Mus musculus: one gene and its partners. The protein of the gene in region 3 interacts with the protein of the main gene of each other region in a pairwise test. Links are inferred from orthologs where the notes say so. Each region holds a gene or a part of one and is shown on either strand. Other genes may lie near its edges. The genes, in order: Emilin1, Mos and Mtmr9.

Evidence for each region.
Region 1: the proteins of Mtmr9 (region 3) and Emilin1 interact in binary tests that used the Homo sapiens proteins (3 or more experiments, as listed by UniProt). The link is inferred for Mus musculus from reciprocal best matches to the Homo sapiens genes MTMR9 and EMILIN1.
Region 2: the proteins of Mtmr9 (region 3) and Mos interact in binary tests that used the Homo sapiens proteins (3 or more experiments, as listed by UniProt). The link is inferred for Mus musculus from reciprocal best matches to the Homo sapiens genes MTMR9 and MOS.

Annotation. Positions count from the first base shown.
Region 1 is NC_000071.6:30,912,289-30,916,700, reverse strand, and holds the start of Emilin1 (EMILIN-1 precursor), read right to left. Parts: upstream 2,916-4,412; 5' UTR 2,827-2,915; coding exon 2,657-2,826; intron 1,738-2,656; exon of another isoform or gene 1,720-1,737; coding exon 1,594-1,719; intron 1,185-1,593; coding exon 964-1,184; intron 1-963. UniProt on the Homo sapiens protein: Involved in elastic and collagen fibers formation. It is required for EFEMP2 deposition into the extracellular matrix, and collagen network assembly and cross-linking via protein-lysine 6-oxidase/LOX activity.
Region 2 is NC_000070.6:3,870,118-3,873,421, forward strand, and holds Mos (proto-oncogene serine/threonine-protein kinase mos), read right to left. Parts: upstream 1,989-3,304; 5' UTR 1,698-1,988; coding exon 666-1,697; 3' UTR 541-665; downstream 1-540.
Region 3 is NC_000080.6:63,523,095-63,527,084, reverse strand, and holds the end of Mtmr9 (myotubularin-related protein 9), read left to right. Parts: intron 1-142; coding exon 143-294; intron 295-2,867; coding exon 2,868-3,019; 3' UTR 3,020-3,475; downstream 3,476-3,990. UniProt on the Homo sapiens protein: Acts as an adapter for myotubularin-related phosphatases. Increases lipid phosphatase MTMR6 catalytic activity, specifically towards phosphatidylinositol 3,5-bisphosphate and MTMR6 binding affinity for phosphorylated phosphatidylinositols.

The DNA of each region.
Region 1 (4,412 bases), on a different chromosome or scaffold from region 3:
ACAGCTCTTAAAACTTTTCTATTGGGCAGATACTTTTGCCATTTGATGGCACAGGAAACGGGGAACCAGAGAAATTAGGCAAGTAGTTCCAGAGAATGCGTTTAACAAGTGGCCATGTCAAATTTCAAACTTAGATCACCCGGCCACCCAACTTGTCCCCAGGACCTCTTGACTTCTTGGAAACCATTTCCTTATCTGGAAAATTCGATTGACACTATGTGTCCTGCCTTTTAGGGCTGTCAAACAGTTTAAAATGGAAATGTGGGAAAGTACTTCACATGCCACTGTTGCAATGACTGGGCCCTTCCCTAAACCACCAGAGGGACAAACAAGAGGCTCTTGCAGCAAGCCTGCTGGGGTGCTGGCTGGCCAGCCAGTTTACCAGAAGTTCCTGTTTCCATAATTATAGTTCAGTTATCTCTTTGGCAGGAAAGGACCACGCATCCGGTGTGCCTAGCCTAACTCATACACATAGGAGGAAAGAACACAACAGAGGCGATTGCATTCTGGGACCTGCAGTCTCCAGGGGCCTGGGAGGGGGTTGGGACCTGTAGTCCGGTGCAATGCATGCTAGGATTTGTAGTCTTAACTATCTTCCCTGCAGACAGAGATTCTCAAAGGAATTCCCCACGCTTCTCCCACAGCTGTTCCCGACTACGAAGGACCTTGGCCACTAGAGGGAGTATGTGAACAAATTGTCTCTATGCCTTCTTGTCTTATCCAGATCTTAAGTTTTCAGGTCTTTCAATCAGTCTCCCCCAAGCTCTGCCCTGCCCCCCACCCGGCCCCCAGACACACTCAAATCACACAAGCATGCAAACATTCGAAGTTTCAGGGACGTCATTACCTCTGTTATAACCACCTTCCCCCCAAGTTTAGAGCATAGAGGTTTCCCTCCCTCCACAGCTGGGCCCCACATTTTCCACCCAGGATTCCCCCATGCCTAGCAACATGCAGGCTCACCTTCTCCTCCCAGTCCACTGAGATGGCTGCCGGCACTGGAGCCAGACAGGTTGGGGCGCACAGGCCTGGGCCGGGGAAGTGGTGTGGAGGGTGCTGGGCCCAGAACGGAAGCAGGGCCCTCTCCACAGTCATCGCCCCCATAACCCTGACAGCACCTCCACTCCATGTCTGTCACTGTCTTGTAAGCCACCCGATAGCGAGGGCGAAGAAAGCTCCGGTACCTGGCCAGAGGAAAGGAAGGTTTTGTATTCTCTCAGTGCAGCTGGTTGTCTTGTGCTTCAGGCTGGGTCTACCTCTCTAGCCAGTGTGTGGTCCTGCTCAGTTAACAGCTATCTGCTTTTTAGTTAAGGGCTAAATCCTGGTTTTTTCTTTCCCTGTGCTGGAACCCTAAGCTAATCTCTTTAAGACTGACCTGTGTCAGCAGAAGTCCCAAAGGTTGGGGACAAGGGGAGAATGCCTGTGGCAGCTCACCAGCCAAGCTAGGACCCGGCTGTCTTCTCAAAATGGTTCTGACTGAAATCCTGTCCTTCCCCCTGCTCCCTCCTTTGCACAGACCCCCTAGATGGCCACCAGCTGTCTGCCCTTGCCCGGATCCCAGTAAGCACCCAATCCCCTAAGTTGGGGCCTCACATGATACTTCGGGAACAGTGGGGCTGGCCCCAGCCACAGGGTTGATAGTCTGGCTTGACAATGGTCTCCACTCCATCCTCAAGGACGCAGCTCACTGTCCGAGTCACCACGTAGGCACACCAGTTCCTGTAGGCACAACCCTACCTGGGCCAAAGGACCAAAGACACAAGCCCCAGTGGGCCCGGAGGTTGAAGGAGGGTCAAAAGATGAAGGGGGCCTTAAGGACCCATTGAAAGTTAGGGTTTTTGCAGGGGCAGCACCCACTCCCCTCTCCTACACAGACACACACACACACACAGACACACACAGACAAACACACACTTTGTGTCACTATGGCAGATAAAGACTTTTCAAGACAGGAAAAACATAATGATAAAAACACACACAGAGAAGTCAGCCCTTCTGACTGTGGGGCCCCAGGGTACCCTAGAATTCACAGTCCCTGTGTACTTCTTTGGGCCTATCTCAAGCCCCAGCTGAGTAAGCTGGGTTCCTGTACATGACCCCCTGCTCATGGTGCCTCCACCCAGCCTTCAAAGAGGAGAGCGGGGCAGGCCAGTGTCCAAATGTCCGACCTATGCTTAAGTAGAGAATAAGCCACTGATGGGCTCTGTCCCCTTGGGGCTTGCGGTGCTGCACTCTTGACCCCATTCACACTGGCTTCTAGTCTGTGAGCTGCTGTAGAGCCAGAGGGAACAGAGCAGGAGGAGTGTCAGAATTATACATTAGTGGATGGGGCCAAGGAAGCCCTAGAGGAGGAGAAAGGTCTGCCTGATCCAGAGCTGGCTGGTACACAGCTGGCAGCTGGCAGGAAGGATAGTCCATACCCCTTGGTGTAGTGTCCCTGGGCACCCAACTACAGACCTCCTTAGGGAAGAGGCGAGAGTTGATCCCCCTTAGGCTACCGAAGCCCTGGAAAAAGTTCCACCGGAAGGTGCATATGGGTAGGCCATTGATGGATGGGTGTTCACGCTGTCCTCTTCATTGTGTTAAGCCTGTTGCCCACCTTCTAAAGGCTTTCCCAACCACAGCCTTCAGCCCTGGATGGAATACAGACTCTTACCTGTGGCGGCTGGCAGGCCGTGGTGAGTTCTGGGCCTGGGGTCCCCCAGGACTCAGGGCCCCAGTGCCTCCTGTGTAGAGGCTGTAACCTCGAGGAGGGTAGCTGGCAGCTTCCGTGGCTATGGTCAGCAGACAGCAGAGATAGCAGCTCCAGAGGGCTCTGGGGGCCATGGTGAAATGTTCCTTGCTGCCCTTAGAGGCACATCTTGGTCTGACCAATAATGCCTATACCGCACTTCCAGGGGATGCCGCTGCTTCAGGGGACAGTACTCCGCCGAGCCAGTTCTGTCCCTAGCTTCCTGCCTGCAGCCCCCAGCTGCACGCCTCCTCCTTGGCTGCTGGGCCTGACCCCTTCTCCCCCTCCTCTTTCCTCCTCAGGCTCCTGTCTGTCCCTCCCTCAGTTCCTTCCGCTCTCCTCTTCTGTACTTCTGAGGGGAGTCTGTTCTCTGGGCCCCTGGCCTCCTGTGCCTGGTCCCTGCCCCTTTCAGAGACTGTTTCCTGAGCCTCCACCCCCTGGCTCCAGCTGGCCCTCTTCTGGTCTCCCTGTTCTGTTCCCTGATGACTGGATCCTAAGGATGACAGAGCTTTGCTCCTGTGGCTGTTGAGAGGCACAAGAGTGACCATGGGCGGGCCAGTCTCCTCTCTCCCTCCCTCCCTTCTCTCTCCTCCCTTCCCCCTGTCTGGCTGGCGGTCCAGCCTCCCCCTTCCTCCCCCACCTCTCCAACCATCGTGCGCCACATCTGCTTCTTGTTAACTCCGGGAAAGAGGGGGGGGGGGGGAAAGGAAAAACAGAGAAATGTGGAGTTGCCGCCGGGCTTGAGGCCAGCCTCTCAGACAGGCCACATGGAGCTGGGGCCAAATCTGAATAGGAGGCCCAGTGCTGGTGGCTAGAACCAGGAACCAGCCAGAGACCCAGAAGCCCTGGGTTGGTCAGAGCAGGACTCTTGGGAGGAGAGAGTGAGTCCTGGGGAGGAGGAAGGCAGGCCTGTACAGAGGATAGCGCATGGGGGAGGGGGCACTCATAGGACCATTGGGTCCTACTGCCTCCTTTTAGAGGCCTACAGTGGGAAAGTAATTACTTTGTCCAAGGTGACACATCAAGTCAATGAATGGCTGGGATGAGACTCTAAATGACTGTAGTGACTCAAGAGACCCGGAGAGGGAAAGAGAAGCATCATCTGTGGAGACAGATAGGAAATCCACCAGTGTGGGAGAAGAGGAAGGACTCAGACAAAGAGGCTTTTCTTAAACAATGGAGGACACAAGAGGGGAAGGAATCTCCTTCCTGTGTCACTGGTGGAGGTTAGGCTATAACCAGAACAGATGATTGCAGTGATAATAGAGCTCAGGCTCGGTTGCTCTCTCTCTAGCCTGGAGGCCTGTATGAGTGTAAGTGTGTGTAGCTCAGCCGCTACACACCATTGGGTCCCCCTGCCTCCTTGTAGAGGCCCACAATGGAAAAGTAATTCCTTTGCCTGCTGCCTCTTGGCTTTGTGTTCTCCTGTTGTGTTCTGGACCTGTGTCTCCGAGGGACAGGACAGACAGGGGGAAAGCTGAAGTACCAGACAGACACAGGCTACGAGATGTTGTTGTGTGTGGGGCACGGGAGAGGTACTGGAGTTGCAAAGGCAAGTCTAAAACTCTGTCACTATCAATTAAGGAATGGAACAGGGCCCCCAAACACAGAACCACAAAAGCAGGGCAGGCCGATTGCCAAGAGGCCAGGACAAAGGCATGATGTGAGCTCTGGCTAAGAG
Region 2 (3,304 bases), on a different chromosome or scaffold from region 3:
GGAAATGTGGCATTCTATAGTACCATTCGTTTTTGGAAAAATGTTCTTTACCAGTAACTAAGTTTTCAACCCCAGGACAAATGGCTGAAGTGCCTATTTAACACAACAAAGTGGACCTGGTGCCAGGTTCTCCCTGCATCCCTCAATCCCTATCAGTACAGGGTGGTCCTGGCTGGCATGCCCTTCTTCCCCAGCTGTCCTTCCCTGTATAATCCATTTAGTTACTTCTCCTCTTTTGGGCTGCTACACCTGATTCTCCTCTCTTCCTTCTCCCTTCCCCTCCTACCTCTTCTCACATGGCTCAGAGTCAGGTCCATGTCCTATGTCTCCCTTTTATTCACGATAAACTTTGTTCTTCATACCTAGGAGCAGGGATGTCCTCTCCTCCCACCATCACCCCCATTCTTTTTTTCATCCAGGAACAAACCTTACTACAGAAATGATACAGTAGGGCCAGGAACCCCAAAACGGCTTAGTTTACCAGCAGCGATGCCCATGAGATCTGTGGCCCCGTTATGCTTAGGAAAAGCACTTCAGGCTGAAGTTCGTGGTAACTTTATTTCCTAAAAATATGCCCTAGTGGTATGTTTTCTTCCACACCATCCTTACTTCTTTAAAAAAATAAACAGAGACAAAAAGCTTATCTCTACATCGGCTCGATGGAGTCAGCCTAGTGCCCCTCGGAAAGCCTTGAGGTCCCTTTGGAGCAGTTCTGCACCCGGCCTCTGCAGGGCGCGGGCCTCCCAGCAGCTCTGGATGATGTTCTGCAGTGTCTTTCCAGTCAGGGAGGCGGTGAACACCGCCCCTGCCAGTGAGGGGCGCAGATTGTAGGCAACCACTGCATACTGCACGTACTGAGGTTCGCCGGAGTAAGGCACCTCCCTGGTGGTCATCTGCCACAGGGTGATTCCAAAAGAGTAGATGTCAGCTTTGGGCGTGGCAATCTCTCCTTTCAGGATCTCCGGAGCTTGGTGCGTGTACGTGCCCCCTATGTGGTGAGGGGACGCCTGCCGGCACCGCAGATCCTGCAGCTTCTGGGAGCAGCCGAAGTCACTGATCTTACAAACGTCTTGCTCACTGATCAAAATGTTCGCTGGCTTCAGGTCCAAGTGCAAAATGCTTTGTGAGTGGAGAAAAAGCAGGCCGTTAACAACATCTAGGGAATACTTGAGGCACTTCCCCAAACTCAGTTGTTCTCTGCAGCTGAGAGGCTCCGGTGAGCGGGTGGCACCGTAGATGACTTGGTGTAGAGTCACGTTGCCCCCAAACTCCATGATTATGGTACCTAGGCTGTTGGAGTCTTCGGGCGTGCGCGTGCTGGCAGCCACAACCCGAACTATGTTGTCGTGGCGTAGTCTTGCAATGTTCAGTTCAGCCCAGAAACTCCGCTGGGATGCACGTAGGTCCTTGGTGCACTTGTTTACTTGCTTGATGGCCACAGGAACACCGTGGTAAGTGGCTTTATACACCGAGCCAAACCCTCCAGAGCCCAGCCTATGCATCAGACATACCTGTTCCCAGTCTATGGAGAACCAGGCCAGCCGGCGTGGCAGTCCGGGAGCCCGAGGAGGAGTGGTCCCCAGGAAGAGCTTCCCTGCCTTCCTCGGGGCCACCAAAGGAATGCTGCAGGACCGCGAGTCCACCGATGGCGACAGCTCACGAGGGAGGTAGCGACACAGGCTTAGAGGCGAAGGCATTACACCCTCAGATGGGACAGTCACATGAGACACTAGGGAGAAATGAGTAGGAACAGCCAGGGAAGTTTGGGAGCATGGCTGAAGATTGCTGCCTTCATCCCAGTTCCTTTCCCTTCTTCCTTGATTCTCAAAACCAGCCACATCTGTGCTATCACTACTCCACAAGGTGTTTCTTTTTTAAAAAATAAGTCAGGTGGGGTTGGGGGTGCAGATGAAGCCTGGCAGTCTCAGATGAAACGATTGCTCACAGCTAAAGTGAATCCTTAGCAACTTCTTCCCCCGTTAAACAGTACTGGCCTGCCCAAAAGTTCACGTCACCTTCCAACTAATTCTTCAATCACAATACAATGGAAGAAAAAAAAAATCAAGTACATTCTGATGATCATTAATCAGTCCTTCGACTGAAGAGAAAAAAAAAGTACAGTGAACTTGGTGCACACTTTTCAGGCTATAATGATTGTTAGTGCTAGTCTCCAGCTGCATTAAATCACTCCCAGCAGCTATTGGCTGCAAGAGTTGCAATACAAACAGCAGACATTTGTTGAACTACTTGCCAGGGTTATTAGATGCAACCTTTGTAAGAATTAACATCTGTAACTTTAATGTCTTTGATCCAAATACAATCACTTATAGAAGTCAGATCACATACCTTTTACGTTCATCAGAAGGGAGCATTCTGACACTGTATTTGATTTAAACAGCAAGTTAAGACTCTGTAACATAACAACACAGTGACCTCCCAATATCCCTTTCCAAGGCAAGTTAAGCCACCCCATGAGTGTGAGTTTGCTTCAAGACAGATTCTAGACTTCACAGAAAGCAAGTTCCTGGAATTTAATGCAGAGTTGGAGGAAGGAAGAAAGGAACAAAGGTGATTGTGATGACCACGGCTGTAAATATCAGCAAGCGTGGGAAAACAGAGGAAAAGTCAGGAGAAATAGACATGGCTCAGAATCACTGGTACCCATCTATAATATGGAAAAGCAGATGCTGAACACAAATTCAGGGTCTGGCCATCAAACCACACATTCCTCCTTTTTTGTTTTATAAAAATGCGCTCAGTTTTATGCTATATCTCTGGGAGAATGGGGAAGAGCCTTGCTCTGTTTATTCAAAAACGTTTCTCAAAGTGGCTAGGAGTTATTCCTCTTAGCTGCTTGGTAAGGTGTTTTATGCATACAGGTGATAAGTGATCACTTTTCATGTGACAGCTGTGTCCCTTTGACTTCAGAATCACAGGTTTTGAGAAGACAATAAAGGAGAGACATATAAACAACTCAAAGTTCACCAAACTCCAGGTTTCTACTTGATGGTATGATATGATTTAGTCTGCCATCTTGTACATAGTATATAATTGTTAGCACCTCAATGCTTTATGTAAGAAATTAGAATAATTAAAGTAAACATTTTTCGGGAATAAAAGTTGAGTAGCTTTGAACATATTAAGAGAACAAAATATTAAAAATGTAAGCCATGGAATATTTTAATAGAAGCCCCATTCTGTGCACGCATATCAAACCCAAATAAAAAAGGAAAATAGTAAGCAGGACAAAATTTAAAAGCACTGAAATTATACTGCAAATTTGCTCAGCAATCACAAAGATAAG
Region 3 (3,990 bases):
TTCATCCTTAATCATTTTGTTTCTCTACTGAGAGTCTTATTTTATGTCACAGGGGGAGTTAGTACAAGACCTGTTAGGATGAGCACTTACGGGTAGTTCTTAGCCACTAATGACTCTGATGGTGATTTTCTTTTTTGAGCAGATGTAAGTTGAAGCTACAACAGAAAACAATGTCTTTGTGGTCATGGGTCAATCGGCCCGGCGAGCTGAGTAAGTTCACCAATCCACTCTTTGAAGCCAACAACCTGGTCATCTGGCCTTCTGTGGCGCCACAGAGTCTTCAGCTGTGGGAAGGTAACTCCCCACTGTGTGCAGAGATTCACATACTGCAAGCTGTGCCCTGAGCTGGCCTGGGGTCACATGCCACAGTAGTTGGTTTTTGAAGATGGTCAGCTGGTAACCCACAGACCTGTGTATGGGTGTTAGTGGTTTCTCAGTGTGGCATGACCGCTGACTGCCAGGAGTTGGTAGACAGCTGGGACATGAACGGATTTTAAGTTCTTCTATCTGTTTCATTTCTAAGCATCATTACAATTAAATGGGTGTTAAATGGTGTCACACAGTCATTCCAGTAGGATGTATAAATAAGCACAAAACACCAGTGGGCGCTACGGGAACCACTGTTCATATGGAGTAGCAATTCATGATGCATTCCTAACCGTAGTCTAAAACAGGGTCTTACATGTGAGTTTTCACATGAAGCTAATCTCCTTAAAGAGCAAAGCTTGTTTTGTTTTGTTTTTTTTTTTAAAAAAAGAACATATATCACATAGTGTATATCAGGTGTTCTTTCCAATGGCACAGTAGATGTTCCATTAACTTAGTAATCACTTTGAAGACAGTGAGTGCATCTTCATGCTTGTTTACAGGAAGTACCATACACACAAAGAGGCTGTTGTTTAGGAAGTTCTCCTAGGTTTTCGTTTGTGTCTGTTGACAACTCGTAACTTGTGGTGCTCTTGGGATAGCTCATGTATAGAAGGTGATTTGCCCATCAGGTGGTGCTTTCTCTGGACTGCCTCTTGTTCCTCTTGGCATGTCTGCTGAGTGCATCTTCCTCCTCAGGCTGGGTGCCTCCCTCCTTAGAGTGCAGGGAAGCTAAATGCCTCCATCAGTGTCATCAGTGTCTAGGTTCCCTGAGCAGCCCCTGTGATTTAAATCTGTGATGGGGCAGAACCTCTCTGCTTACTCTCTGGATTGTTGTAGAATAAGTAATTTCCTAAACGAGAGATTGCTGCTTTGCTTCCTTTGTAAAGGTCTTGGGGCTGGTGAAGTAGCTCAGTGACAATCTGAGTTCTGTCCCCAGGACTCATGTGGTGGAAGTAGAGAACCTACTGGCTCTTGCAGCTTGTCCTCTGACTTCACACACACACACACACACACACGAATATACACACACACACACACGAATATACACACACACATGCATACATCATCTGAATAAAATGTAATAAAAACTTTCATTTTCCGAGGCAGTTTACTTAAAAACCACTGTCATACTTAATCACTGAAATGAGAGGCCAGCTGTTGGAGACAAATGCCCTGTCTAGAGTGGGGCTCCAGAGATGAAGTGGTGGAGGAAACACAACTGCCATGTGCTTACATCCTAGGAGGCGTTCATAGTGACTTCTGATCCAAGAGTAGTAGACAGTGTAGTTGTGGAATAAAAACAACAACACAAGCCAGCTTTCTCTAAGCATTTAGCCTCGGTATCTATGAAGTTCACATGCACAGCCAGAACCAGGTGTGGACTGGATATTTCAAAAAGTTTGTCCTGGCCGGGCAGTGGTGGCGCACACCTTTAATCCAGCATTTGGGAGGCAGAGGCAGGCAGATTTCTGAGTTCGAGGCCAGCCTGGTCTACAGAGTGAGTTCCAGGACAGCCAGAACTACACAGAGAAACTCTGTCTTGGAAAAAAAAAAAAGTTTGTCCTGTGGCAGGTTAGTTTCTAGTTCACATTTTCTAAGCCGCACAGTACTATAAGTATTTACAGTGTCCACACTGAATAGGACAGATATCTTGAGATGCTTGTGTGCATAGGTTAAAAACAAACACTGTCATTTGATGTAAAGGATTCAGCATCCAAGAATGTAATGCCCAGGAGCCATTCTGGAGTCAGTGACCTGAGATGACAAGCACCCGTTCAGTCCACAGTGAGCCAGTGGTGGTTGTCTGAGGAGAGGAGCAGTTCCCTGTGGAGCTGGACAGTGACTGATGGTGTAGAGTGATGTGAGTTATTGATGTTGAGGTGTAAGTAACAGCCTGTGCCTCTGATGCCGCGGCCACCATCACTCTCACAGTGAGAACGGTTTCACTCAGGCAGGCAATCTCCCAGACCAAATAGAAGTCTGCAGTTGTAAAATGGGTGACTTTGGTTATGAAAATGAAGACTTCGTGGCACTCTTAAGTTACCGGCTTATTTTCATGAGCATATTACAACGGTGTTTCTGGTTATAACCAGTAAACACCTCCATGACAACTGCAGTTCTTTGCTACTGTGTGGCTTCTTTCAGTAACTGAAGAGTCTGTGTAGTTTAGAGTATTGTGAGGCACAGGGTAAGCCATGTGTGGTGGTGCATGTCTGGAATCCTAGCTGCTTGGAGGCTGAGATAGGTGGATCACAAGTTTCAGGCTAGCTTGGGCCATTTAGTGAGACCTGTTTCTCAAAATCAGGAAGAGCTGTCGTTCCATAGTAGAGCATTTTTCTGTTAAGTGTAAGGTCCTGGGCTCAATCTGTAATGCTGCAAAACAAAAGTTTAGACAAATATAACATGAGTTGTGGGAAACTGTACAGTGCGTGGAGTTACCAGGAACACAGTGCTTCTCTGAACATCCTACTCCTGTTTTTCATTCCCGGATTCTACAGGAATCTTCTTACGCTGGAGCAGATCCTCCAAGTATCTGGATGAAGCATATGAGGAAATGGTTAACATCATTGAATATAACAAGGAGTTACAAGCCAAGGTCAATGTCCTGAGAAGGCAGTTGGCTGAATTGGAAACAGAGGATGGGCTATGAGAGAGTCCTTGAAAGATCGCCTACCTGTCCTGAGGACCTGTCTAGTCCTGAGTCGTCTCTCCCTCTGTTTGCCCTTCAATTCATGTTCACAGTAGCCTTGAACTTGGCTGTAGGTGCGGAATCCCTGTAATGTAATGGCCTTCTAAGCACTGCAAGGTGGCAGTCACTCACAGATATGGCCTGTTAGGCCCTCCACTTAATGAGCAGGTGGTGCTGTCACCTCACTACATATATGACACCTATGCCCTATGCTGTTCCCCATCTCTAGTTTCTCACCAGTGGTCCAGACTAGTTAAGAATCCATCTACAACATGGGCCAGGCTTATTTGCATTCGAGTATAGAGGTGTTTCTTTTTTTAATGGAAATAATTGGGAAGCCACAATTGTATGTTTAACATGTCATCCTGCCCCTATCCTCCACTCCCAGTTATAAAAAGACCATTCTTTTTTAAAACAGTTTTGGACTAACAAAGCCTGTTTTGTCAAGGAGGAAAATCGGAATAGTTATTTGTGATAAATCTGTGTCAAGGGCAACAGGTGTGGTCCTCTGATAACTTCATTAAGGAAAGATAAATTTGCAAGTTGACACTAAAAAGTGTGTGCCCTAGATAACTGAAGTAGAATTCCTTACTGGTAGCCATGCTTCTATTGAATAGGCTTTTCAGGTTTCTGACCATTCATACAAAATGTGTTTTGAGCAATGGGTGTGAATGAAGCCATCACTTGACTGGCATTCACTTTTCAGAACTGCACAGCACGGACAGCACCCGTGAGCCCGAGGTCTGCGCTCTTACTGCACTGGTTGGTATTTACGTCCATGTGACTTATTTCACTTTTAAATATTTTAAGAGATGACTTGTACCACAGCTAGACTTTGATGTCAGAGTGAGCCATTTGCAAATCTGTCCTGTGTTAGGCAAACAGGATTGCGCTGGAGTGGGGAGCTAGGAAAGTGGCACAGCTGCTTGAGA